4 linked regions of the Stegostoma tigrinum genome follow. The protein of the gene in region 1 interacts with the protein of each later gene in a pairwise test. Links are inferred from orthologs where the notes say so. Each region holds a gene or a part of one and is shown in the gene's direction. Other genes may lie near its edges. The genes, in order: wwp2, arrestin domain-containing protein 3, fbxl18 and heterogeneous nuclear ribonucleoprotein U-like protein 1.

What was found.
Region 2: the proteins of wwp2 (region 1) and arrestin domain-containing protein 3 interact in binary tests that used the Homo sapiens proteins (3 or more experiments, as listed by UniProt). The link is inferred for Stegostoma tigrinum from reciprocal best matches to the Homo sapiens genes WWP2 and ARRDC3.
Region 3: the proteins of wwp2 (region 1) and fbxl18 interact in a two-hybrid assay, tested with the Homo sapiens proteins (3 studies listed by BioGRID and IntAct). The link is inferred for Stegostoma tigrinum from reciprocal best matches to the Homo sapiens genes WWP2 and FBXL18.
Region 4: the proteins of wwp2 (region 1) and heterogeneous nuclear ribonucleoprotein U-like protein 1 interact in binary tests that used the Homo sapiens proteins (3 or more experiments, as listed by UniProt). The link is inferred for Stegostoma tigrinum from reciprocal best matches to the Homo sapiens genes WWP2 and HNRNPUL1.

What each region holds. Positions count from the first base shown.
Region 1 is NC_081369.1:42,090,339-42,097,961, forward strand, and holds the start of wwp2 (NEDD4-like E3 ubiquitin-protein ligase WWP2), read left to right. Parts: upstream 1-4,602; 5' UTR 4,603-4,653; intron 4,654-7,623. UniProt on the Homo sapiens protein: E3 ubiquitin-protein ligase which accepts ubiquitin from an E2 ubiquitin-conjugating enzyme in the form of a thioester and then directly transfers the ubiquitin to targeted substrates.
Region 2 is NC_081356.1:92,345,283-92,352,372, forward strand, and holds the start of arrestin domain-containing protein 3, read left to right. Parts: upstream 1-4,075; 5' UTR 4,076-4,329; coding exon 4,330-4,609; intron 4,610-7,090. UniProt on the Homo sapiens protein: Adapter protein that plays a role in regulating cell-surface expression of adrenergic receptors and probably also other G protein-coupled receptors.
Region 3 is NC_081376.1:10,999,981-11,006,969, reverse strand, and holds the start of fbxl18 (F-box/LRR-repeat protein 18), read left to right. Parts: upstream 1-3,981; 5' UTR 3,982-4,177; coding exon 4,178-4,423; intron 4,424-6,989. UniProt on the Homo sapiens protein: Substrate-recognition component of the SCF (SKP1-CUL1-F-box protein)-type E3 ubiquitin ligase complex.
Region 4 is NC_081392.1:7,469,709-7,477,021, reverse strand, and holds the start of heterogeneous nuclear ribonucleoprotein U-like protein 1, read left to right. Parts: upstream 1-4,306; 5' UTR 4,307-4,529; coding exon 4,530-4,740; intron 4,741-7,313.

The sequences.
Region 1 (7,623 bases):
ATGATTTCTTTCATGGTATTCAGTGACTGGGCAGTCTTAATCTGAAGAATGTCCTAATCTGAAGATGGTCTGTGCACTCAAATGAATGCTATATTTGACATATTTTAGTTGCGAAAACATAGTTAAGAACAACTATTACAATTGTATTCTGGCAATGGGACAACTGAATAGTTATTACAAACACATAAGAAAATCAAATATTCAAAAATTCATTTAACTTTGATCTCATCATTTCCAGACCCATAGAATCATGATTGAGGTGCTTTACCCATCTCAAACAAAAACAGAAATAGCTGGAGAAAATCAGCAGGTCTGGAAGTACCTGTGGAATGAAAGCAGAATTAATGTCTTAGTTCCAGTGACCTTTCCAGAGAATTGATTGTATCTAGTTTGGTATGTATGCTGAAGATGGAGTTGGTGGGGAGGTGGGATAAATGATGGGTGGAGATGGAGCCCAGGGAGAACCAACAGCGATAGTAGGAACAGCCGATGCTGGAGAATCTGAGATAACACGGTGTGAAACTGGATGAACACAGCAGGCCAAGCAGCATCAAAGGAGCAGGAAAGCTTGATGTTTCGGGTCGGGACCCTTCTTCAGAAAAAGGGTCCCGACCTGAAACGTCAAGAGAACCAACAGCACTTGATTAGACAAAGGAATGGATAATGGTCAGCCTGGGAGAATCAACAGTTGCTAATGGGGACCATTTGTAGCTGACACCATGAGAAGCTAGGTTGTTTGTGGTAGCAGCCTTGTGATAACAAAGCCTGGTGTGTGAAGGTTAGGGGAAGGACATTGAAGGTGCTTAAGCTCTAAAATTGTTGAACTTGATATCAAGTCTTCAAGGCTGCAGGGTCTCCAAGCTACAAATGAGATTCTGTTCTTCCAGCTTATGCTGAGCTTCATGGGAGCAGTGCAGCAAGCCCAAGACAAAAACATTGGTCAGGGTAGGCAGAAGTGGTAGGCAACCGGAAGCTCAGGGTCATTTTTGCGAACAGAACATGGATGTTTTGCAAAGCCACTGCTCAGTTTGCATTTTGTCTCCCTAGTATTGTGGGGATCACATAATGAGCAGTGAATACGGTAAACTAGATTGAATGGAATGCAGGTAAAACACTGTTTCACCTTGAACGTGTGTCTGGTTCCTTGGACAGTGAGGATGGAGGAAGTAAATGGGCAGGTGTTATATCTTCTGCAATTGCATGGGAAAGTGTTGTGGGAGTGTGAGGAGGCATTGGGAGTGGAGGAGAAGTGGGCCACAGTGTCCTGGAGGGAACAGTCCCTGCTGAAGGCTAAAAAGAGAATGGTGGGAAAGATGTATGTTTTGGTAGCATCCTGCTGGAAGTGGTGGAAATGGTGACTAATGATCCTGTGGATGTGGATGCTTGTGGGGTGGTAAGTGAGGACCAAGGCAACCCTATTGGTGCTGTGGGGCCAAAGTGTGGGAGATGGGTCAGAAATGGCTCAGGGTCTTGTCAGCCAGGACAGTGGTAAATCTGTGGTTGAGGAAGAAGGTGGACATTTTGGAGGCCCCCTTGTGGAAGCTGGCATCATCAGAACAGATGTGATGAAGACAGAGAAACTGGGAGAGTGGAATGGAATCTTTACAGAAAATGGGGTGTAATGATGTATAGTCTGGGCAACTATTGGAGTCAGACATGGAAACAGATATGGTGAGGAAGGGAAGGGAGGAGTCAGAGATGGATCAAAGAAAGGTGAGCATGATGGAATTTGGAAGTGAAATAGATAAACTTTTCCTACTCCAAATGAGAGAGGGAAACAACACCAATGATATCATCGATGTACCAGAGAAAGAGTTGTGGGGAGGGACCCGAGTAGGACAGCAACAAGGAATGTTCCATGTACCCTAGCAAGAGACAGGCACAACTGGGGCCCAAGTGAATACTCATGCCACACCTTGATCTGAAGATAGTGAGAGGAGGTAAAGCAGAAGTTGTTCAGGGCCAGCTCAGCTATGTGGAGGAGGGCGGTTGTGGATAGGGATTGTTCAGGACTTCTGTCTAGGAAGAAGCAGAGAGCCTTGAGAACATCCTGGTGGGGAATGGATGTGTAAAAGGACTGCATGTGCCTGGCAAAGAGGCAGCTGGAGCCCGTGAACTGTAAATTCAGAAACTGACATGAAGCATCAGAAGAATTGCAGATGTAGGTGGGAAGGGATTAGATACGGGGGAAAAAAATTGAGTCAAGGTAGGAAGAGATGAGTTATGTGGGGCAGGAGCAAGCAGTAACAATGGGTGTGCCCACGCAGTCCTGTTTGTGGCTTTTGGGAAGGAAGTAAAAGCAGGCTATATGGGTTGGGGGAATATCAGCTTGGAGGCGGTTGGTGAGGGGAGTGCACAGTGGGGAGATCACCAGATGAAATGAGTTTAGTGACTGTCGTAGACACAAAAGGCCTGATGCCTGATGGTAGTGTCACAGTCCGGGTCCAGAGGAGGATGCCTTATTTCTTTCTGATTATGTGATCCCTTCCTATCATATATCAACAAGTCACCAAGAATGCAGATACAGACAGCATTGAAAACATCATCTATACCCGCAAAATAAATCCCCAGGGATCTGGGAGAATGACACAATTTGCTTCAAGGTTTCCAGTTCTGTTTTGATTTGTAAAAGCATAAAACATTTTGCACAGTTCTGATTTTCCACCTAACTAATTTATCCATTTCTCCTTTAGTTTTACATTATTTAGTGAAGGTAAGTTAAGTGCTGCAGAGCAAGCAACTTATGTTCACCAAGATGTCTCAGCAGTACTCACCACCTTCAGATGGGACTACTAAAAAAGCAAAGATTTGGATTTTTATGTAAATACTTGTATGGTGTCTTTCAGGAGGCAGTTACACCCCTTAGATTACCTCAAATTTGGTCAGTAGTCAGGGACATAGGGATGTTACTATGAGCGAGGCAAGTAGAGAGATCGAGGAAGTAGAGCTAAAGAAGTCTCAGCACTTGAGTTTGTCTAACAGGTTTGACAGTCTTGGTCCTAGCAAGGGCTATTGGGTGGATAAGAAACAGTCTGGGGGGAAAAAAAAGAGAAATGTGGTTGTAATTGGGGACAGTACAGTCAGGGGAACAGACACTGCTCACTGTGGTCAGGATCGAGAGTCTTGAAGGCTGCGTTGTTTGTAACAAACATAGCAAGTGAAATACTGTTAACATTTTGAGTCCAATATGGCTTCAGAACTGAAAAATAATCATCTCAGACTAAGAAAAAGTCCTGAAGAATAAGTTCTGAGGAAGAGTTATATCTCAACATTAACTCTATTTCTCTCCACAGATGCTGCCAGACTTTGTGTTTCCTCAAGCATTTTCTGTGGTTCAGATTTCCAGCATCCTCAGTATTTTGCTTTTATTTCAGTTTTTCCAGTGCCTTTGCCAACATTCCTGTTTGAACTCATTTTGCTAACACCACCATAACTGGCCAATGAGTTTGTTTGGACATTGCAAGATTGATTGATTGATTTATTGTCACACATACCAAAGTGGAATGAAAAGTTTTGTTTATGAGCCATGATGTGGAGGTGCTGGTGCTGGACTGGGGTGGACAAGGTCAAAAGTCACATGACATCAGGTTACGGTCCAACAAATTCATTTGAAAACACTAGTTTTCAGAGCTTCGCACCTTCCCCAGGTGTGGTGTTGAAGAGGAGGTGTAACAACACAGAATTTAGAAGCAGAAAGGTAACAACCCTAAAAATGGCTCACTGACTGTCTCCTGTTGAATCCTGAAGGATTTCTGACTTACTATAGGCAAATCATAGTAAGGAAGGATGTATAGATCAAGAAGACTTAAGATAGCAGCATATAGATTACATTGAACAGGGTGTGCACTTGGCAGAATCAACATCAACAAAATCCACATTATTTGAGAGTCCATTCATCAGTTTAATAAGAGTCAGGAAAGTTCCTGAACTTTGCTGGTACATGTGTTCAAGCTTCTGTATCTTCTGCAATTTTGCAGCAACATCAGTCTGCATAATCGTTATAGCTGCACTTCAACAGTTATCAATTTGTTGTAAAGCACTTTAGACTATTCACAGGGCATTGCAATACAAGGTTTTCCATTACGTTATCCTAGATTCCACCTACTAGTGATAACACAGTTTGCAGCTGGAAGAACACAGCAGGCAAGTTCACATTTCGGGTTGGGACCCTTCACCAGTTAGTGACATTTTTAAAGCAAATCAAAACAAAGTTGATAAAATGTGAGGCTGGATGAACACAGCAGGCCAAGCAGCATCTCAGGAGCACAAAAGCTGACGTTTCGGGCCTAGACCCTTCATCAGAGAGGATGAAGGGTCTAGGCCCGAAACGTCAGCTTTTGTGCTCCTGAGATGCTGCTTGGCCTGCCGTGTTCATCCAGCCTCACATTTTATTATCTTGGATTCTCCAGCATCTGCAGTTCCCATTATCTCCAAAACAAAGTTGACTGAGAGACTCATTGTAGACATGTTAAACTCAATAGCTTCAATAAAGGAAAATATTCATTGCACTCAGGTGAGGCCTTCTCTCAAGCAGTTCTGGTTCCAAAGCCTAGGCCCAGACTTAGCCTTGGTGTTGCTAGGCTGCAGGATTACTTCCGGTCAGGTGATAGCAGTCAGCTGGCAGAGAAGGCGGAAGTGAAAGCGGCGATTGAGGTAAAGTGATGGCTGATGGCCGCTGATATGACTATTTATTAATGGTGGGTGGGAGGAACTGGACCTCTAATTAATCGTTTTAGAGTACACGGTGCGTGATTTTAGGCGGGTGGTGGGGAAAAGGAGGATGCGGCGAGCTGTGTGTTTGGCTGAGGGGGGCTGGGAGTGCTGTTCAGGGCTTTCAGTCGGTCGTAAATAATAACAGCGGTTTGTCGGGCAGCTGGCGGGGTCGTCTTCAGCGTTTTGAACTCAGAGCCAAGGAAGCTGCTCGCCCACACTGGCCACCTTCACATTCCGCTTTCCAGAAAATTTGCTTGACCTGCCTCCCGTTAAATGTAGGGGCAAATGACCGCAGATGCCAGAATTTGTGCTGAAAACAACAAAATGCTGGAGATCACAGCGGGTCAGGCAATGTCTATGGACAGAGCAAGCAAATGTTTCAAGCCTAGATGAACTGAAGTGTAGAGGGGCCGGCATTGGTGCTACAGTTTGTGGGTGGTGGGTGTAGGGAGCCGTTAAAATGACATACCGAGCTTGAAATGTCAGGGCAAAGCTCGTGTGGACTCCAGTAGTTAATAAAATTTCTTAATGACTTTTGTTTACGTCAGGCATAAGTTCCAAATCGTTTCACTTCTCCTCTATGGAGAGAAGGATTCATTTGATTGTATTTCCATATAGTTTGTGTTTTGCTTTTACCTGAATTTAGACCGGGGGGGGGGGGGAATGGAGCGATGCAGGGTTTCTTCCCATGTGTTTGAGGTTTTGTAGAAATTACGACCAGACTTTGGATTCAGCAGGAAGTAATTTTATTAAAATTGAGTTGCTTTCATTTAAAAGAAGTATTTTCGTAGAGTTCGCTTCCTGTTCAATGCGTTGTTATGGCAGGAACACCAGTCACGTTTAAAGACTGAACAACTTGCTCCGGCTATAGATTCTTAGTAAACAAGGTGTAGAACTGGATGAACACAGCAGGCCAAGCGGCATCAGAGGGGCAGGAAGGTTGACGTTTCGGGCCTAGATCCTTCATCTATCTCAGATTCTCCAGCACCTGCAGCTCCCACTAATCTCTGTAGACTCTTCGTGTTCGGCTGATACGCATGAAATGGCGGTTGAAACGTTAAATAAAGAAAAATGCTGCTTATCATAGTTTCTGACTTGGTTTGTGCCCATTTTATGTTTGGGTGTATTTTGAGACTCACTGGTAACTAGGTGTGCGTCAGCGGGACTGGCTGCGATTTTTGATTCGAGGATCTTGATCATGCCCATGTAGGAAATTCCAGGCTCTTGTTTACTGTTGATGCAAAATTGAAAGTACCTAACGCTAGCACTGAGCTTGCTGCTAAAGCCCGCCCTCCGTTTATGCTGGTTGAATGGATAATTTAAAAACTTGAATATTCATACTAAGCTTCTAGTTTGTGAATATTTTATTTGCATATGCGTACTTGTCAAAAAAAATGCTGGCAGAGCTGGACAACCGTGGGTTATTTTCCTCTGACAATTGTGAAGGTTTGATACAATTACATCAGCGTTTTATTGAAATGTGGGTTCCTATACATATAAACACAAGTTAAGACGTTTCAGTATTTCAAATAGCATGTTGACTTCCCAAAGACCGCTCTTCTTGCATAGAATATTTAACATACAACAAAAGGATGGTGTCAATAAAATCAATAAATAGAGGAAAAATACAGTGTACTAAATTGATTCAGAGATAGTGGGGACTGCTGATGCTGCAGAGTCTGAGATAACCAGGTGTAGAGCTGGATGAACACAGCAGGCCACGCAGCATCAGACGAGCAGGAAAGCTGACGTTTCGGGCCTTAGCCCCTTCATCAGAAAAGTGTGAAGGGTCGAGGCCCGAAACGTCAGCTTTCCTGCTCCTCTGATGCTGCTTGGCTTGCTGTGTTCATCCAGCTCTACACCTTGTTATCTCAGCGTCTCAAAGAATTTAATATACTGTGTTAAAGATGAAGAGCAGTTTCATATTATGGTGGGAGATATGGGTTGGGGGCTCTAGTATGAAAAGTCTTGTCTTATTTATGGGAACAAGAGTAGGCTATTCATCCCTCAAGTCCATTCCACCATTTGCTGATCAGCCATGATCTGTGGCCTAACACCATATGTCTGACTTTGGCCCATATTCCTTAATAGCTTTATTTAATGATATGGTGGTGCAGTGGTTAGCACTGCTGCCCCCTAGTTCCAGGCACCTTGTTCTATTCCATGACTATTTGTGTGGAGTTTGCATGTTCTTCCTGTGTCTGTGTGTGTTTCTATAAGGTGCTGCAGTTTCTTCCTAGAGTCCAAATCGACAGGTTAGGTGGATTGACCATGCTAAATTCTCTTTAGTATCCAGTAGGATATACAAATCAGGTGGATTAGCCATGGTAATGGCGAGTTTTAAGGATAGAATTGGGGGCTGGATTTGGGTGGGATGCTTTTCAAGAGCTGATGCAGATTCAATGGGCTGAATGGCTTCCTGGTGCACTGTAGAGATTCTATGATTCAGTACGAGTGTTAACAACAAATTTCTTTTCATATCTAAAATTAACAATTGATCGTGTATCCATTAAATCCTGAGAGTTCCAAACAGTCACTACCTTTGGATATAATCTCTTTATCTACCCGTCTTTTCCTGCTAATATCTTGAAGACTTTGATTGGAGCATTCCTCAACCCCCTAAATTCTCGAGAATGCAGGCCTAATTTATATGATCTGTTCTCATGACTCAATAGTTAGGTAAGGTAACATTTTTGTAAACCTATGTTGTACTCCAGAAGCGAATCTATTGTACAGTATTGCTGTAAAGGATTGTAGAAGAGTTATTCAAGTTTCTTTATTGGGTACGGACTACCCACAGAGATACCATCAGATCAAGGGTCAAATATACATCAGTTATCCAAGGAAGTTCTGGATAGCTTAGGAATAAAACAATTTAAATTGACTGTGTACCATCCAGAATTCTAGGGA
Region 2 (7,090 bases), on another chromosome or scaffold:
AAGGGAGTTACAACAGCAATTTTCCAATCATCTGGGACTTTCCCTGACTCCAGTGACTTTTGAAAGATCACGACCAAAGCCTCCGCTATTTCCTCAGCCACCTCCCTCAGAACTCTAGGATGTAGCCCATCGGGGCCAGGAGGTTAATCAATTTTTTGGACCCTTTAGCTTTTCTCGCACTTTCTCTATTGTAATGCCTACCGTACTCAACTCTGCCCCCTGGCTCTCCCTAATTGTTGGCATACTACTCACATCTTCCACTGTGAAGACTGACGCAAAACACAAAGGCCATCAGGCAGTGGTTAGCACGTAGAATTCTCGAGACCCTTCGGGAAAAGGAGAGGTTGGATCCTGTCGTGTGGTTCCCCACGCAGACTGCCAAAGTCGTTTGGCAGAATGCCTCATCGCCAAAACTTTCAAACAAGCACAAGGACATTGCTTGGCTGGCGGTGAGAGGGGCTCTGCCAGTGAGATCCTTTATGCATGCCCGGAATCTCTGCGCCACCGCACGCTGCCCTTGAGGCGGCTGCCGGGGGGGACGAGACTGTCTATCACCTCCTTCTGGAGTGTGCCTATGCGCAGGAGGTCTGGAGGGGGATGCAGTGGTATTTGTTGAGGTTCGTCCCGAGCAGCTCCGTGACACAGGACTCCGTGCTCTACGGGCTGTTTCCCGGGACGCACACCGAGGCCAACATCAACTGCGCCTGGAGGACCATCAATGCAGGGAAAGATGCTCTTTGGTCTGCCCGCAACTTGCTGGTCTGCCAGGTGAAAGAACTGACCCCAACCGAGTATTGCAGACTGGCACACTCCAAGGTCCAGGACTATGTGCTGAGGGACGCGCTCAAGCTTGGGGCAGCCGCTGCCAAGGCACTGTGGGGAAAGACCACCGTATGAAACCCCTCGTCCAGAATAGAAACAAGGGCCCTATCTGATAACTGGGCCCAGCTGGTGCCTTCCCCAACTGGTCAGGGGGCCAACGGGGGCTGTGCGGGGAGACGACTGCCGGGGTATTTTCTTTGCTTTGTTTTTTTTCTTTGTTTTGTTTTTTCCTTTAGTTGGTGTACGTACCCCCTGGGTAACCTGGAGCGGCTTGCATGACTGGGTAGGTGTATAAATGTTTTACTTTTTGTACATTCTATGAATAAAGTGTATTTTTTCAAATTAAAAAAAAGCGACAAAACGTCTGAAAACAAACCTTCCAGCTCAGCGAGCAAACTTACATCCAGTGCAAGGAATTCCCAGGAGGATGCCCTAGACCAAATACCTTCGGCTACACTTTTAATGAGCTTCTTCCTACCATAAAATCAGAACTGGGAATGGTTATTGATGAGTACACAGTGTTCAAAACCATTCATGACCCCACAAATATTGATGCAATCTGTCTATGTGCAGCAAGGCTTGAATAGTCCTGCTTGGGCTGAGAAGTGGAAGAAACACTCCCCACAGCTACAAGGCAATGTCCTTCTCCAACAAGAAAGAATCTAATTGTCTCCCCTTCGCATTCAATGGCATTACCATTGCTAACTGCATCACTTCTGAACATCCGATGGGTTATCATTGACTAGAAACTGAACAAGCCATATAAATACAAGACCAGGTTAGAGTCAAGGAATTGTATAGAAGATTAGTCACTTCCTGTCTCTACAACACCTGTCTACCACCTGCAAGGCACATGTCAGGAGTGTGATAGAATACACTCCACTTCTTTGCATAAAGCTCCAACAACAATTGTGAAACTCAACACCAAAAGCAACTTGTTTGAATGGTACACTTCTACCACCATCAACATTCATTCCCTCCACCAACAATGCAGCAGCAGCACTGTGTACCACCTCAGAGATGCACTGCATTAATTCACCAAGGTTCCTTTGAAAGCATGATCAAAACCTGCAAACTGTACACCCTGGACAACAGCAGGAATCTGCTTGGATGCACCGTCATCTGCAAGTTCCCCTCAAGCACATGCCATCCTGACTTGGAAATACATTGTCATTCCTTCACTCTTGCTGGGTCAAAATCCTGGAACTCCCTTCCTAACAGCCATTGTGATGTCCCTAATCACATGGATTGTTGCAGTTCAAAAAGGTGACTCTGCCATTTTCTCAAATTGTGGGGATAGGCAAAAAATGCTGGCTGGGCTAGTGATGTCCAAGTCCATTAAAAAAACACCAAATGTAGATATTTTCCACGCAATCTGTTCTGAGATGTTGTCACACTTGTTACCCCAGGTTTGTCAAGTGCCTAATTGAGGTGATTAAGGTGAATAACAGATTTGATAGAGAAGTTGGAGTTAGTTAAACTATTTTCCCTTAGTGAAGAAAAGGGAATAATGAAGGGTCTAGGCCCGAAACGTCAGCTTTTGCCATCCTGAGATACTGCTTGGCCTGCTGTGTTCATCCAGCTTCACACCTTGTTACCCTAATAGCCGTTAATGTTGCACAACTGACAATTCCACAATTGACACTTGTGGATTTTCGTTGGGCAGAGTAACTGAGGATTTATGGAACCACATCGAGTAGCTAGAATAACGATACAAACCAGCCGTCATCAGGTTGAAGATAATAAAATGTGAGGCTGGATGAACACGGCAGGCCAAGCAGCATCTCAGGAGCACAAAAGCTGACGTTTCGGGCCTACACCTTTCAGCAGAGAGGGGGATGGGGAGAGGGAACTGGAATAAATAGGGAGAGAGGGGGAGGCGGACCGAAGATGGAGAGTAAAGAAGATAGGTGGAGAGAGTATAGGTGGGGAGGTAGGGAGGGGATAGGTCAGTCCAGGGAAGACGGACAGGTCAAGGAGGTGCGGCTTGGAGTGGGAGGAAGGGATGGCTGAGAGGAAGAACCGGTTAGGGAGGCAGAGACAGGTTGGACTGGTTTTGGGATGCAGTGGGTCGGGGGGAAGAGCTGGGCTGGTTGTGTGGTGCAGTGGGGGGAGGGGACGAACTGGGCTGGTTTGGGGATGCAGTAGGGGAAGGGGAGATTTTGAAACTGGTGAAGTCCACATTGATACCATATGGCTGCAGGGTTCCCAGGCAGAATATGAGTTGCTGTTCCTGCAACCTTCGGGTGGCATCATTGTGGCAGTGCAGGAGTCAGATTGAATGCCGTTACAGGCTTCAGTTTGAAGGTCCTTATTCCTACTTCTACGTCATGTTTAAAAAGTCGTCAAAACGCAATCTTTACATTTCGCCGATAAATCATGGAGCCTCAAGAAAGATTTACATTGTGAAAATATTTTTAAAGAGACATCAATATTGCGTGGATTGCTTATTTCGGGGCAGTAGCTGAAATGTTGAAAGCGAGTGAAAGACGTGAATGTATAAAAGTTCAAAATAGATGTGGAAAAGAAATGACATATGTGCGAGGTAAAACAGAAGACGGAGAAACGTTAGAATGCTGTGATAAATCGAACGGATGTTAAGTCGGGGATAAAGGAAATTAAGTTACAAGTAAAAAGTAACAGGCTGTCTTCATCCAGCTCTACATCTTGTTATCTCTAAAAAGTACCCCTAAGTAGTTGTAAATTTGGAATTGGCTATTACATGAAATAGCCACACGGTGTCGACAAGGTGTAGAAGACTGACGAGAGGAGGATTATACACCGAATATTACTTGGGTGCAACAATTGCAACAACCGCTATTATTATTTTGTATTGTGCTTCAGCGACGGTTATGTCTATTTTAATGTGCAGAATAAAGCCTTCAAAATCTATTGCTACCGCACGGACGAATAATGCAACATGAGTGCGGCAGATGCATGCGACGTGACCCATGTGTTACTGCAACAAACCGGGGAGTGGCGCTAATTCGAATGCTCGCCTTGTGCATTGAATTGATGGAATTAATGACCTTTTGTAATCGCGTTAGTACAAAAAATGCCTGCGGCACGATAGACTGCGAATTCTGATATTATATATATGTATATTTTTAATGGTGCAAATAAAAAACATGTATTTTATATGTTTGTCTCTGTGCTACTAGTCTACTTTAAGGGGGAATGACCTCAATCAGCTGTTGATCAGCTGGCACTGGCTCTAGACTCAAGGCGGAAGCAGGGTGAATCATGCACAGGCGCACTGGAGTTGTTTTTCACAAAAACCGTTTTAAGTGAGGTGGTAGGTATGATATCCCCGTCTTTTGTACAGACCAAAAGCTGGGCAACAGCATCTCTAACTGTCCAAATCCAGATGCTCCTTTTTAATATTGCAGTGGTCGTGCCTGCTGTTTTTGCAGCAAAAGGCACTGATCAGTGGTGAAGATCCCACTTTTCAGATTTTTTTTGTACTTTTTTTATAGTCACGTATATCTACATAGATTATAAATAACCATGGTGCTGGGAAAGGTGAAGAGTTTTACAATAAGCTATGACTGTCCTAATGATAACAATATACCCGTCTATGCCAGCGGAGATTCTGTCTCTGGACGGGTAATTATAGAAGTTACTGGTGAAATCAGGGCGAGATCTCTTGCAATCCATGCGAGGGGACAGGCGAAAGTACGCTGGACAGAATCGAGAAACGCTGGTTCTAATACTGCCTATACTCAGAACTACACTGAAGAAGTAGAGTATTTCAGCCACAAAGACCTTTTAATCGGGCATGATAGAGGTAAGCTTGGAACTGGAACAAATAATCTTTCTGATCTGAGAGTTTGTTTTGTTTAAAGTCTTTGTGCAGCTTACTGTAACCCTACTGTAAAATGTGAGCAATGGAGATCAGATTGTACGACCAATTTAGAAGTGCAATTTTAATGTTATAAAACGTTATTAGTTATTATAAGTATTAAGATAAAGGAGTTAAAATTTCATTTGACATAACTTCATAGATGTAAAAGTTCGGTATCCTGTCACTCACCTTTCACTGCCAATTTGTTTGCCAATGAGTGGTGAGATTTTACATAGGGTGGTTAGCAATGGTTTCAAACAAATTTCGTGACAATATTTTGCCGATTTTCGAAATTGCAGTAATTCTACTGCACCGATTTATAGGGTTTAACTCCTTTCTTCCTGTTCAGGACCGTCATTTTGTAATATGCAAAAGAAATCCAAACGATTGCACTGTTGAATTTCTAGTGACAGTTTCATCCATCCAAGCGTTTTTTTCTTTGCAATTCAGATTTGAAACCAAATGTCTAAATTACAATAGAAAATAAATGCCTGACTGCCCTTTCAATAATTGCAGTAATGTGTGTGCAGTGACTTCCAGACCAAGTCTTTGAATTTACAGTCCAAAAATGTTCGAAAACTCGTTATTTTTAAAAGGAAAAACTTATTCAAATAATTTCTAAATCGATACAATGGGGCCATTTAATCTAAATTTGATGTGCTATGTGGCTTACAGCAACATTATTCGACCCATCACTTAGAGGTGTCATTGACATTAAATTGATTATATATAGATTTCTGCAGTGACATCGCTTGTCTCAATATTATATTTGTAAACTTATATATTTAACAATTGCAAATTTACTGTATATTCAGTAACATTCAAAAAAGGTTAGTTGTTTTCCTAAGTTTCCACCCTTTGTTCAAAGCGGTTCAATCCTGTTTGGGACAAGCATTAGGGGGGAGGGAGGGGGAATGTGAGTCTTCTCTTCGCTCATTGGTTTACACCGTCAGATGGTGAGGATGACTTAATGCTATTTTGCAGAAAAACAATTTGCAACAGCTGCTTTGCACCTTCGTAATATATGTATATTACCAATAAAAATATATTTTTTTCCTTGAAATGACCTTTTTCCACACCGGTGTGTGGGTATAGGTGTAATACCGTATCAATTCAATTTGCAAATCTTCTATGAAATTGCGTTATTTCAATCTACTTTCATGGATACGGAAAAGAATGAGCCCCTGGCATGTTTTTTTTCAGTACATATTTACATCAACCTTAAATATTCCGGAGGAGGATCGATCAGCGGATTAAGAATACAGTTGTGCTTATTTGTCTTAACCTTGCTGAGTGAAAAGGCAGAGATGTTCACTTTATTTCTAGTTTCTTCAAACAGATATTTTTGAGATTCTACAATCTGCACAGTACATCGTGTAAATGATGTGCAGTCGCCATTTATTCATTGCAAAATGGTAGAAATTGTAATACAATGAAGTTTGGCGTGCTGTGTCTTACCAAGTTTTCTGTCGTTTAGCTTGGCTTTGTTGCAATTGCTCCTCCCCGACGTGCCGATTGGTTCCTCTGTTTGTTAGACTGTTGCTAAGGCGCCGTTAACTTTAGATTGGCCAGTGGAGCTGTCTATCACCTATCGTTTGTTCTGCTTCAGTGATCGACTCTTGCAAAAAAAATCTTTTAAGAGTTCATGGTCTTATAAAAAGGGTGGATTTAGTAAAGCAGGGACGTGGCAGGAATGCATCATTATTTAGAACGTGTATAATCGATGTCATTTTATTTCTGAGAACAGTGGCAACGTTAAATCTCCCCTTTTGATGAACATTGTAGTCAATCGTATGTGCGATTCTCAAGCCCTTAAAATAAGAGGCCGAAGCAACAATTTAAGTCCAAATGACAACACAACAATTTTCTTTTTTTAAAAAAATTCTAAAAAATCCTTTTTCTACGTGTGTGCGTTGAGAATGGGTTGCATTTATGGATCGCCTGGTGTGTGTCCAGCCCCTCCCTTCCATTGCTCTTGTTTCCCCCCTCTCTCCCTCCCTCTATGAGCAGACTAGGCTGGGCTGGGCTCTGCTGCTGCTGATGAATACCATGTGGTTGCGGCTGAGCTGGGCTGTTCGCTCCGGTTCAGGCCGGCTCTCTCCGCTGTCTGCCTGCTGCTGATTGACAGCTCACTACTTGTTTACCGCTTCACTGCAAAGCTGAGCGTGCTGAGCTGGCAGAAAAAGGGGAGAGGGAGAAATAGGCAGAACCTCATGGAGGAAAATAAAGTTGCACAAGAAATCGTTACAAATAATGTTGTATTATGTTGCAATTTTTTTAGATTCAACATTATTCTTAAATTTATTTTTAACCATGACAATGCTATGGATAGAAATTGATCTTCAAATTGCACCGTGTAAGGATTTCGAACGTTTCTAGTGATTTAACAGTTTATTTTAGAAAAAAGGCACTAATCCCTATTAA
Region 3 (6,989 bases), on another chromosome or scaffold:
TCTGCCAGTACTTCATAAAAGCATTATAAATTTTTTTTGGAAGAGGATAATACATCAGCAATTATATCTGAGAGCTTTGCATAGTAGTGGGAGCCTGATGACTTTGAGCTTCTACAGTTTAAATGACAAAATGGGAATTCATAATAGAAGAAGTCATAAAAGTGATAACAAAATGTAGTTATGCAGACAGGAAATGAGTGAAAATGTGTTTTTCAAATTCTGATTGAAATGTGTAATAAATATATCTTTAAAATTGTATATAATGTCTACTTTCAGCCCATAAACTCTCACATCTGTCATAATGAGACTCCATTAGGAGACACACATAAGGATACACATCAGAAATCCAACACAAACATCAAATTTGATGTTTAAAGAAAGATGAGAAAGTTTGAAGCTATTGCTGCCAGATCTGTGATTTTTTACTTGCCACAAATGTCAAACCAAAAGCCTAATAGTCGTATCAAACAGATACTCAAGCTCCACTGAACATAAATCTTCCACTTTCCCCATGGTTTGAACAAATCCTAGGTCCCTGCTTCCAAAGGATGCTACATCACATGCAGGAAAATCTAGGCAGTCCCAAAAATCATTTCGAAGTTCTTGACCCTGGAGCCAATAGTGCCAAAGCCAAGAACAATCCTCTGGTTCAATATTATCCTCAAAATGCAGGACTGCTTCTAAGCACAGACAAGTCCTATTTATTTTATCTGTTATTGTATAAATATCAGAGCCATGAAATCTCGAGGTAGTTCTCCTTTTGCAACTAAGTTGCCATGGGAAACTGGAGATCTCCATGGAATTTAAGGATTTAATTTTTAATCACGATTTATCTTGCATCTTAAGTTAACTTGTCTCAAATTAGCAATAAATACCAAAAGTATATCATATATGTGAAATGGCTGCAATATTCTTCAGGGAAAAGATGAATAAATTGACTTACTGATGTAGTACTCCTATTAATCGTTTGTATTGCAACAATGTTAACTTTTATTAAATGGTGAAGCATAGTCAAAGTTTGAACTGAGATGACCCTGGAGACTGGCCAATTTTTATACAAAGTAATCATCTACATAGTGAGAGGGACTCAATTAAATATATACCATTGCATATTAATTTCTAAACTTCAGGGATGCAAAGACAAAAGATAGTCCTGCAGAAACAGAACATTTGGCTTAATTTAAGTGTGTTTTCTGCTGAAAGAGTGAATAAACTGATGTAGAATCAAAGACAAGGTTTAACTTGGAGAAATAACAATTATAATGTATGTAACAAAAGCAAAACTGATGATAACAAACTATTATTGCTCATTGGTTAGTCCAGCGGAGAAAAAATTCTTTATTGAGGAAACCAGTTTATTACCTGAAGCTACTGTAAAGGCATTGACCTACCTAATTTCTGCTTATGTAATTACACTTTATTGCATTCTAGTAATGCTGAAATTATGTGAATTGTCATGTAGTAAGAGATGTGTAAAATGCTGCTGGTAAACATTTCAATTTGTAAATGTTTGAACGTCGTGAAATACAGAGTTCAGACCTGTAACATCTTTGAGGTTCCAATTGTTGTTTGTAAGAGCTGTCTTGTTGGTCACGTTTAACTCTAACTGCATACACATTATGCAGAACACTTTTTCTGAAGAAGGGTCCCGACCCGAAACGTCAAGCTTTCCTGCTCCTCTGAAGCTGCTTAGCCCGCTGTATTCATCCAACTTCACACCATATTACCTCTTTTATGCAAAACACTTGACTATATTTCAAGAATAGTTCTGATACTTGAGGAATAGATAGCACATCTAATAAGATAAATAAATCATTTTCTAAGAATTCTATTCCAAAAAAACATTTTGAAAGCTATTGTTGAGTTGATTCGTGGATAACCGCTATTTAAAGATATATTTATAATAATATTTTATAATATATTATATATATTTTAAAAATCAGCTGATAACCGATGTGCCTGTAGGTGGTGCTGTGATTAGGCCTTTTTCATGTTTTGATACTTTGGTCGTTTTCATTATATCGTTACATCTGAGGGCAATCTTTGTTAGTCCTTATCCAGAAATCAGGAAAACCTTCAAGCACAATCGGTCATCTTTTACTTCAAAACAAACATTAGGGCCCCTTTAGACAGAAGCATGAGTCCTGTTTGTTACTCATAGAATGCAGAAACGTATGGAAGGGTCCCTATCTTCACCATACTTGAACTCAGATAACTCAGTAATGTTCAAAGGTGAAACGTTGAATCCACCTGGTCCCTAATTGCTCTGCCAGCATTGTACGACACTGAGACATGAACATGAGAAAACTGTAAAGTTTTGGCCGTGACCCTGGAGAGTAACTCATCTGCACTTCTTCCATGTAGTGCTATGGGATCAGTGTCTTTACATCCACGTGAAAGTACGAAGTCTCAACCAAAAGATATCATCTCTGACAGTTTGGCACTCCCTCAGAACTGCATTCATGTGTCAACCAAGGCTCTGGAATCGGGCCCGAATCAGAGGCTAGTGTGCTGACACGACATATGTTTCACATTGAGCTCATACTAAGATAAGCCTCTGTTACATATTTTTAAAAAATAACACACACGTTATGAGTCAAGAAGAAACAGTGTAATCACCCTATTCCAATCGCTGTTAACACAGCAAGCCACAGTATGAATTGTAGTAATATACATTGGGCAGAAACTTTCGAAGTAGAATTGGACACGTACTTTGAAAAGAAAAAGTAAACAAATGTATGGATAACAAAAACAAAGTTCCTGGAAAAGTTCAGTAGGTCTGGCAGCATCTGTGGTGGAAAAAACAGAGTCAATGTTTCGGGCCCAGTGACGCTTCCTCGTTGTTCCTGATTTACGGCATCCGCAGTTCTTTCGGTTTTTATTTAAGTGTATGGATAAAATAGTGGTAGTCGGGCTAATGGGACAACTCATTCAAAGAACAATCATAGGCACAACGGACTGAATATTCTTCTCTGCTGTAAGACTCTGTGAGAAGACCTGGGGAAACGGAGTGAGACTGTTTTATTAACCCTTACAGAGCTATGGGTCAGACATAATGTCACACGATATCCGCTTAGAGAACCGAGTTTTCCCCGGCATTGGAGTCAATAACCGATCCTGGAAACACTATCATTTAATTTCAAACAAAATCAGAAGTTGCTGGAAAAGCTCAGCAGGTCTGGCAGCGCCTGTTAAGAGATATCAGTGTTAACGTTTCGGGTCCGGAGCCCCTTCCTTAGCACATCATTTAATCTCGACGAGTTTCCTTTTATGATTTGTTTAATTATGATGAGTTGTCCGCTTCCAAAAGAAACACGAGGGCAGGGCACTGTTGTAAAATTCTTAATAAAAACCAAAAGAACTGCGGATGGTGTAAATCAGGAACAAAGACAAAGTTGCCGGAAAAGCTCAATAGGTCTGGTAGCATCTGTGGAGGAGAAAACAGAGTTAACGTTTCGGGTCGGTCGGAACAGTTCTGAGGAAGAGTCACCGGACCCGAAACGTTAACTCTGTTTTCTCCTCCACACATGCTACCAGACCTATGGAGTTTTGTCCAGCAACTTTGTTTTTGTTTTATTTGTAAAATTCTTGTTAGATGCCACCGGGATGGAAAGGAAAACCCAATCTCTCGGATTCCAGGAAATGAAGCGCGGCTGAACAGCCTGTCCCTGTGTACCGCAGTTGCCTTCGACTTAGGAGCGGAGGTCGGGGAGTGAGTGGGGCGGACGCTTGGGGGAGCAGGCGGGGCGTAAGTCAGGCGGTACGTGTGGCGGAAGTCGGGCTTGAGCAGGCCAGAAAGTCGATAGGACATGTGGTGCGGCTGTCTGTGTGTGCGGGGCGGAAGTCAATGGGTCATGCGGGGCGGGTTTCACCGTGCGTGCGGGGCGGAAGTGATGGGGCATGCGGGGCAGAAGTCGATGGGGCATGCGGGGCGGATTCCACAGTGCGTGTGTCGGAATTAAGTTCCGGAGCAGCGCCGTTAGTTTGTTGGTGCAGGCAGAGTGAGTGGCAGTGGATTGGATGTGCTCTGTGTTCTGCCTCGGACTGTCAGGGAGCGTGAAATATTTTTATTTAAAGCTTTTCCTATTTACGTCTTGGTTATTCGTTAATATAGTTGTTTGTTGATGTGCTGCCTTGCCCCCGAGTGAGCTGTTAACTGAAGCCGGCGCCTGAAGAGATGGAGAGCGGGGAGGAGCCGGAGCCGGAGCCGGAGCAGGAGCAGGAGCAGGCCAAACCCCAACCCCGACCCCACACCCAGTCCCTCAACCTGACCGAGTTTTCCGATGAGATTCTGTTGACCATCCTGAGGTTTGTACCCAGCTGCGACCTCCTGCTCAATGTCCGGAAAGTGAATAGAAAGTTGGCGGCTCTGTGTATGGACAAGAGCCTGGTCAGCTCTGTCACTCTGCACAAGGAGTACCAGGTAAATCAGCAACCCACTGCTACTCTGTGCATCGTATTAATAGTTTGTGACAATGGGAGATAGCTGGAGTCTGAGCCCTCTGGAATACAGTCAGAAAGTGCTGCACGTATTTAGGATCAGACATTGAGCCAATGTTTCAATTTGGTGACTTTACAGCCGAATGTGAACTGTGAAATCCTTTCATTGACTTCCACTGTGTTTACATTCAGTGTTCTAAACAACTTCATTTCAACACCAAACTGGGATGAAATAAAAGAATTTCAATCTGAGCTGGCCATTGTTTCTAACCCCAGGAGCAAAAAAATAAATTGGGAGCTGGGAAGTAATGCATTAGCTTTCCCCAGTTGTAGTCTTGACTATTCAACTATATTGCCAAGACTAGATTCAGACATAAGCCAAATCTAGCACGTTGCAGTCAAACCTTTTTCTGTATCTATAAAAAAGGTAAAGTCACCATAATCCTACCAGACCATAGGGTTCTACTCTCTCTCTCAAAGAGAGATGATGGGGGGTGATTTAACCTGAGGGTGACCAGACCTCAGGCAAGGGGAGAGGCTGAGAAGGAGAATCATTTATCGTAACTCAGTTGGAGCAGGAATTTGAGTCCATGTTGTTTTCATTACTCTGCATCACAAACCAGCTGTCGAGTCATCTGAGTTAACTGAAATGACTCCCAATCAACTATCTCTCTTTGGAGTGATTTAATTTAAAAAAAAAACCTGGTCTACTTGTTGACTTTTAAACTTTAAAATTAGCTAAGAAGATGTACTGCTGCAAAACCCAATCAGCTACCAATTTTGTTTCTCTATGAATGGAATTGTAGAAACTACAGAATGTGATTCTTGTGAAATATGCTGCAAGAAAATGAAAAACCACTTGTTACCCTTACAGATCATTTAACAAGCACATTGATTAACATATGCCCTGCAAAGTCAGTTAACTTACCCTTATATGTGTAATTTCTGATGATCTTGGGCAAAGCAGATGCGATGGCTGATCAACTTTAGTGGCAGTAGAATAGCACTTCAGGGAGGGTTGTTAGGGGTGGTTTGCCTCAATTTTCTGCATTCCTGGTCTCCACTGCCAGCGTACTGTCAAGGACGTATGCAGCATCAAATTGACCGTTGATTCCTCTTTGTTCAACTAACATTCTGGCACTAAGGTGCCTGCACAGCATTTTAGTTTGTGTCTTTCCCCTACTTTATGTTCCATTATGATTCCAAACAATTTTCCTTTGAAATTTGCTCTAATGAAATACTTCCACTGAGCTCACTTGGTTGAGTCCAAGAATGATCTTCCTTTTTATTTTTCTGTTTATATTAATAAAAGTTGATAACTTAATTTGGTGAAGCATTTGATTCTGTGCTTTCACGTTGTTGTTTCATGTACAAGTGTAAACATAATTTTAGATTACCTTACCTGTGGCTGTGATCTCTTGCAAATGGTTGCATTATTCAAGGTTAAATCACCAATAGTTAAACCTTTGAAGGTTCACTCTTAATCTGGTATGTTGCTGGCCCATGGCACCGGCACCTCTCAGGTACAGGCAGTGGCTATCTTTGTTCTGTGATCTTTGCAAATCGAATGAGTAGCGAAGCAAGTGCTTTTGCTGATAAGTTAAAAAACTGTGAGGTTGACCAACAGTGCATTTTTTTTATTTGAGTCGTCATGTCAAGTTGAGAATGGTGTGTAGCTCTTTAATTTCACAAAACCATCTTTTTGAGTGGAAGGTCTGTCATATGTGGACAAAGTTTTAGTAACTCTGATTCTTTGATGACACAGAGATCATCTTGCTTCTATCAGGGAATTGCATACAGTTATTTCCTCGCTGATTGTTCAATTTTTTTTCTATCCTTTTCTGTCTTCCTGGTGGTCATTGACCAGATACCCTCTGATACCCAGGGCAAATGTTCACATTCCATGTGAAACTTCATGGTGAGCTTGTGTTTCCCAGGGGAGGGAGCACTCAGTCTGTCCTTGCTAAACTTTAGAGATTTGCAGTTTCTTCAGCCTGACGTGTAATTCCCTCAAAGCTCAAAGAATTGAAAGAAACACTGCCCTGCTAACCCAGAATAATCACTTGGTTGAATCTGAGATCTTCCAGTTCTGCATGTTTCAATTATTCCATGACAAATGACTAAACTATGAAGCAGAAGTTCCAAAATTTCAACAGTTACATGCATACATAAAAGTGCTTTGTTTACTGTAATAACAACTCCTAGCAAGCTTCACTGGAGAAAAGTCAGACAAAAATTGATAATGGCACAGATGCTCTGTATCTTTCTGAAATGCCGAAAGTATGTTCAAGTTGATATAAACTATGCTTTAGCTGGTGGAAGATTGCAGGGTCACTGCTGGGTGCCTGCTGAGTTAGCTGATATCCAGCAGAGGGAGCTTCGATTGGCCTGGCAGCTCCTCCCGTCCTTGGACGGATGGGACAGGGTATATGCGGACCAGCTGCAGAAGGAGGTGTAGAAGTGTATGAAAATCCAATGCGGGATAGGGCTAGGCTCAGCTAGCACAAAATTGCACAGTTTTTTGACTCTGAATGAGGCCTTGACTGTAT
Region 4 (7,313 bases), on another chromosome or scaffold:
AATTGGATGCCTAGCTACCCTGTGCTTCGGGGGAGGGGTTGGGGGTAAAAGAGATTATTCAGCCTCTGACCTGTTCTTGTAGCCATAGTGTTTACATGGCTGGTTCAAATGTGTTTTCTGGCTGATGGTAAATCTAGGATGTTGACAGTAGGGATTCAGTACTCAATGCTATTCAATGTTAGAGGGAGAAGGTTTGATACTATTTTTGTTGGAGAATGATATGATGATTACCGGCTACTTAAGTGGGCAAGTGTCATTTGTGTCACACATCAGCCTAAGACTGAATGTTGTTGATCTCTTGCCTTGTGCTTCGGTATCTGAGGAATTGTGAATGGTATGAAAAATGCGATCATTACCAAACATACCCACTTCTGACCTTACATTGAAGGTAGGGGTCATTGAAACAAGTGAAGCTGGTTTGGCCTGGAACTTTATTATTCTGAGGAACTCTAACAGTGATGTCCTGGAATGGAGATCATTGCCTCCAGCAACCCTAGCCAATTTTTCTTTGTATTAGGTATGACTCCAATGAGTGGATAAATTTCCCCTATTCCAATTGTTCACCTCATTTCTTTTTTGATAGTTAAATCAAGGTTGCAATGAGATCTGGAACTGAGTGGCTAGCGCAGAATCTAAATTGTGTAAGTGAGTGGATTGTTCCTGATCAAGTGCTGCTGGATGTCACAGGATTGCTGACTGAGAGTAGACTGATATAGCAGAAAGTGGATGGATCGGATTTAGTTCTTTGAGAAGGTGACCAAACAGGTAGATGAGAGTAAACCGGTTGATGTGGTGTATATGGATTTCAGCAAGGCGTTCGATAAGGTTCCCCACAATAGGCTATTGTACAAAATGCGGAGGAATGGAATTGTAGGAGATATAGCAGTTTGGATGGGAAATTGGCTTTCTGAAAGAAGACAGAGGGTGGTGGTTGATGGGAAATGTTCATCCTGGAGACCAGTTACTAGTGGTGTACCGCAAGGGTCAGTGTTGGGTCCACTGCTGTTCGTCATTTTTATAAATGACCTGGATGAGGACATAGAAGGATGGGTTAGTAAATTTGCAGACGACACCAGGGTCGGTGGAGTTGTGGATAGTGACGAAGGATGCTGTAGGTTGCAGAGAGACATAGATAAGCTGCAGAGCTGGGCTGAGAGGTGGCAAATGGAGTTTAATGCAGACAAGTGTGAGGTGATGCACTTTGGTAGGAGTAACCGGAAGGCAAAGTACTGGGCTAATGGTAAGATTCTTAGTAGTGTAGATGAGCAGAGAGATCTCGGTGTCCATGTACACAGATCCTTGAAAGTTGCCACCCAGGTTGACAGGGCTGTTAAGAAGGCATACAGTGTTTTAGCTTTTATTAATAGAGGGATCGAGTTCCGGAACCAAGAGGTTATGGTGAAGCTGTACAAAACTCTGGTGCGGCCGCACTTGGAGTATTGTGTACAGTTCTGGTCACCACATTATAAGAAGGATGTGGAAGCTTTGGAAAGGGTGCAGAGGAGATTTACTAGGATGTTGCCTGGTATGGAGGGAAGGTCTTATGAGGAAAGGCTGATGGACTTGAGGCTGTTTTCATTAGAGAGAAGAAGGTTGAGAGGTGACTTAATTGAAACATATAAAATATTCAGAGGGTTAGATAGGGTGGATAGGGAGAGCCTTTTTCCTAGGCGAGCACAAGGGGGCATAGCTTTAAATTGAGGGGTGAAAGATATAGGACAGATGTCAGAGGTAGTTTCTTTACTCAGAGAGTAGTAAGGGAATGGAACGCTTTGCCTGCAACGGTAGTAGATTCGCCAACTTTAGGTACATTTAAGTCGTCATTGGATAAGCATATGGACGTACATGGAATAGTGTAGGTTAGATGGGCTTGAGATCGGTATGACAGGTCGGCACAACTTCGAGAGCCGTAGGGCCTGTACTGTGCTGTAATGTTCTATGCTTTTTGTGACACAACCTACCTAGACAATTTTCCACATTGTTTGGTAGGTGTCAGAGCTGTGCTAGAACAGTTTGGCAAGAGACGCAAATAGTTCTAGAGCACAAATATTCTAGCTACAGGGCCTTTGTTGGAAATATTATCATTGTATGCTGTATATTACTCATTTATCACTGAGTGAAAAAAAATTGAAGTTTACTATGTGCGATGCTGGATAACTCAGGGAAAGGGTGGGATGCATCATCCACTCAGCACTCTGCCTGGGGATAGTTGTAAACATTCTAGCCTTGTTTTTTTCACACTGACATACTGGGGTCCACTGATATTGAGAACGAGGACATTTTTACAGCGTCCTCCTCCAGTTATTTAATTGAGCACCAACATCATGTCTGAATGTGGCATGGCTGCAGAGCTTCAATCTGGCCCATTGGTTGTGGCGTGACTTGGCTCTGCCTATATTGTTCTGTACTTGCTGTTTGCATGTTAGTCCTGTGTAGTGGCTTCACCAACTTGGCACCCTGTTTTGACTGTTGGTGCTTCTGTTTTATTTTTCTATGATCCTTTTTAAAGTAGAGTTGGTCTTGCGGCTTGACGGCAATGGTAGAGTGAGGGATATATGGGCCATGCGGTTACAGATTGTTGAATGAAAGTCTGCTACAGCTGATGGCTCAGAATGTCTCTGAGATGACCAACTTTTGAGCTACTAAAGCCGCCCTGAATTAATTCCAGTTTTCAAGTGTCAGTAGCATACAATACAATGGAGGATATCCCAGTGTGAAGACAGGAATTCGGCCCCAGAAGGACTGGACTCTGATCGCTCATCTGTGACAAGTCTGTGGCACAGTTCTCCCAGATAATGAGAGGCATTCACTTGGGAGGCTGTTTCTTATTGTTTCCAGTGTGAAGGCTAATGCTGGGTGATCTGTTGTTATTCAGCTTTTGGTGGTAATTTTGAATGATGGTTGCTTGCTAGATTTTTTCAGAGGGTATTTGAGAGCCATCCAAAATCACATGTTGGCCAGGCTAAGCAAGGACAGCAGATTGCCTTCCCAGACTATCTTTGTTGATCAGAGCTTTGAATGCAGATTGTTGAAGAGGCCACTTTGAGTACTGTTCACAGTTCTGGTCACCCTGCTATAGGAAGGATATTAATAGGTAGGAGAGAGTGCAGAATAGATTTTCAAGGATGTTACAGGGACTGGAAGGTTTGAGTTATAGGGAGTCTGGATAGGTTGGGATGCTTTTCACTGGAGTATAGGAGGTTGTGGTGTGACCTTATCGAGGATTATAAAATCGTGAGGGTTATAGATAAGGTGAATAGCAAGGTCTTTTCCCTAGATGGCTTATTTGAAAGGGGAAATATGTCAGTGACCTGAGGGGCAAATATTTCACACACACAATGGTTCATATGAGGAATGACCTGCAGAGGGAATGGTAGATGCAGGTGCAGCTACAATATTTAAAAGACATTTGGACAGGTACATGAATAGGAAAGGGTTGGCGCAAATGCAGGCAAATGGGACTAGTTTCATTTGGGGAACTTGGTTAGCATAGACAAGATACACTGAAGGGTCTAGTACTGTGCTGTATGACTCTAAGGAGCATTAGTGAATCAGATGAGGCTTTAGGACAATCTGGTAGTTTCACCATTATTATTGTGAATTGACCATTTTATTTCAGGTTTATTAATTAATAGAATCCAAGTTCCCCCGGATCCAGGAGTGGCATGATCCTTGAGTCATTGTAAATACCTGTGGTTTATTGGTTTAGTGACATCACTACTGTTCAATTATCCCCCATTTTAATATTATTTACTTGTAAAATTTTAGTTATGGATTTTTTAAAAAGTTCCTTTATTAGATGTACCTCTTTAACAAAAGTGAAGAGTTTTTTTACATCTCTTGGGACTTCACTTTCATCCCTATTGAAAAATATCCTTTTCCTTTGGTGTAGCCGAATGGTTTTGATTGACATTTGAACAGCCCATTCAGCTTTCGAGATAATCGGGAACGCTGTTGTCCTATGGTAGTAGCGGATAGAAGTTGGAACTTGGACTCCGGATGTTGATTGGGCCTTTGGGCACAGAGCCTACTCTCCTCTAAGGCCGAATTTTATTGGCCAACCCGCCCATACGCACACCAGGGCCTCCAAATTTGACTCCCCTTTCAAGCTGCGGGGAAGCTAGGCCAATGAGAAGCGGTGACTCAAAGCAGCAGCGGAAGCAAGGGGCAGGCCGGCTGCGAGACGGCTCCTGATTGGCGATTTGGTAACAGCAGGCGCATTGTGAGCAGCTGATGACCAATGAGGAGCGCGGAGAGAAAAGTGGGTTTGGCTGCGCCTGGCGCCACCAAAGTGGGTGCAGGGAGACGGCGGCCATTTTGTTTCGTCAGACGCCGCGGCAAGAGAGAGGAATTTTCTTTATAGAATCCAAAGTGTCCTTTTTTTTACCTTTTGCCAATCGGTTGGAGCAGTGCACTTATTATATTTTTTCCTTCACGTGGCCTCCCACATTACTAAGCCGCTTTTTTGGTTGGTGGTGGGGCATTTTTAAAAGAAATTGAGAAAATAGTTTTAATTTAAATAAACGGGAATGAGTTCGCTGGACGTGCGGAAACTAAAAGTGAACGAGCTCAAGGAGGAGCTGCACAGACGCGGCCTTGACACAAAGGGCCTCAAGGCGGATCTGCAGGAGCGGCTGCAGGCAGCTCTGGACCGTGCCGCTGACGAAGAACAAGAAGCAGCCAAAGCCGCCGCCACTGCCGAACGGCAGCGACAGGAGGAGGCGGAGAGAGCGCGGGCAGGTGAGGCCTAGGCGTGCATGCGCGGAGCTTCCGGCAGGTAAGCCGGCTGTGCGCAGGCGCGGATCCCGCCCACGGACTCACCTTGAAATGGGGAGGGAGGGGACGACTGGAGTGAGATATTCTCGTTGCATTCGGTCGCTGATCTCATCTATTTCCTCCCCCTTTTAAATTACTCGACTGTTGGCTCTCAACCCATAATGCAATAGAATCTGCAGTTAAAATAAAACAAAGAACTGCGGGTGCTGAAGGTCTGAAGCAGAAGTTGCTGGAGAGATTCAGCGTCTGTGGAGAGAAAGCAGTTCTGAGTTTCGACTCCAGTGAATCTGCAGTTATTTCTGGATGGAAGTCTTTGTGTTTTCAAGAGGAATCATCTAGTTGTTTGATTTCCTGGAAAGACTTATGCCCCATTTTAGCTTTTAGTAGACTGCATTTGATTCTGAGCTTATTTACAGAGTCTTAAGAAGCACGGCAGAACGGCTGTTTCCCCCCTTCTAGTAGCCTGACATGTGCTGGAAACAGATTCCATAGTTGGCCTTGAAAGAGAATTTGATATGAACCATAACTAGAATCTCTGTAGCGAGTTTTGAGAACATTTGTAGCTCAGGTTGAGGTTCTGGATAATAAAATGTGAGGCTGGATGAACACAGCAGGCCAAGCAGCATCTCAGGAGCACAAAAGCTGACGTTTCGGGCCTAGACCCTTCATCAGAGAGGGGGATGGGGAGAGGGAACTGGAATAAATAGGGAGAGAGGGGGAGGCGGACCGAAGATGGAGAGTAAAGAAGATAGGTGGAGAGAGTATAGGTGGGGAGGTAGGGAGGGGATAGGTCAGTCCAGGGAAGACGGACAGGTCAAGGAGGTGGGATGAGGTTAGTAGGTAGCTGGGGGTGCGGCTTGGGGTGGGAGGAAGGGATGGGTGAGAGGAAGAACCGGTTAGGGAGGCAGAGACAGGTTGGACTGGTTTTGGGATGCAGTGGGTGGAGGGTAAGAGCTGGGCTGGTTGTGTGGTGCAGTGGGGGGCGGGGACGAACTGGGCTGGTTTAGGGATGCAGTAGGGGAAGGGGAGATTTTGAAACTGGTGAAGTCCACATTGATACTATATGGCTGCAGGGTTCCCAGGCGGAATATGAGTTGCTGTTCCTGCAACCTTCGGGTGGCATCATTGTGGCAGTGCAGGAGGCCCATGATGGACATGTCATCAAGAGAATGGGAGGGGGAGTGGAAATGGTTTGCGACTGGGAGGTGCAGTTGTTTGTTGCGAACTGAGCGGAGGTGTTCTGCAAAGCGGTCCCCAAGCCTCTGCTTGGTTTCCCCAATGTAGAGGAAGCCGCACCGGTTCAATTCGTCCCCTCCCCCCACTGCACCACACAACCAGCCCAGCTCTTCCCCCCCACCCACTGCATCCCAAAACCAGTCCAACCTGTCTCTGCCTCCCTAACCGGTTCTTCCTCTCACCCATCCCTTCCTCCCACCCCAAGCCGCACCCCCAGCTACCTACTAACCTCATCCCACCTCTTTGACCTGTCCGTCTTCCCTGGACTGACCTATCCCCTCCCTACCTCCCCACCTATCTTCTTTACTCTCCATCTTCGGTCCGCCTCCCCCTCTCTCCCTATTTATTCCAGTTCCCTCTCCCCATCCCCCTCTCTGATGAAGGGTCTAGGCCCGAAACGTCAGCTTTTGTGCTCCTGAGATGCTGCTTGGCCTGCTGTGTTCATCCAGCCTCACATTTTATTATCTTGGAATTCTCCAGCATCTGCAGTTCCCATTATCTCTGAGGTTCTGGATGTGAGTTTGCTCGCTGTGCTGGAAGGTTAGTTTTCAGACGTTTCGTTACTTTTTTTTATTTGAAAAAATATACTTTATTCATAAGATGTACAAAAAATAAAACATTTATACACCTACCCAGTCATGCAAGTCGCTCCGGGTTACCCAGGGGGTACGTACACCAACTAAAGGAAAAAAAACAAACAAAGAAAAAAAAAGCAAAGAAAATACCCCGGCAGCCGTCACCCCGCACAGTCCCAGTTGGCTCCCTGACCAGTTGTGGAAGGCACCAGCTGGGTCCAGTTACCAGATAGGGCCCTTTTTTCTATTCTGGATGAGGGGTTTCATACTGTGGTCTTTCCCCACCGCGCCTTGGCGGCGGCTGCCCCAAGCTTTAGCACGTCCCTCAGCACGTAGTCCTGGACCTTGGAGTGCGCCAGTCTGCAACATTCGCTCGGGGTCAGTTCTTTCAGCTGGCAGACCAGCAAGTTGCGGGCAGACCAAAGAGTGTCTTTCACCGCATTGATGGTCCTCCAGGCGCAGTTGATGTTGGTCTCGGTGTGCGTCCTGGGAAACAGCCCGTAGAGTACAGAGTCCCACGTCACGGACCTGCTCGGGACGAACCTCGACAAATACCAATGCATCCCCCTCCAGACCTCCTGCGCATAGGCACTCTCCAGAAGGAGGTGATCAACAGTCTCGTTCCCCCCCGCAGCCACCTCAAGGGCAGCGTGCGGTGGCGCAGAGATTCCGGACATGCATAAAGGATTTCACTGGCAGAGCCCCTCTCACCGCCAGCCAAGCAAT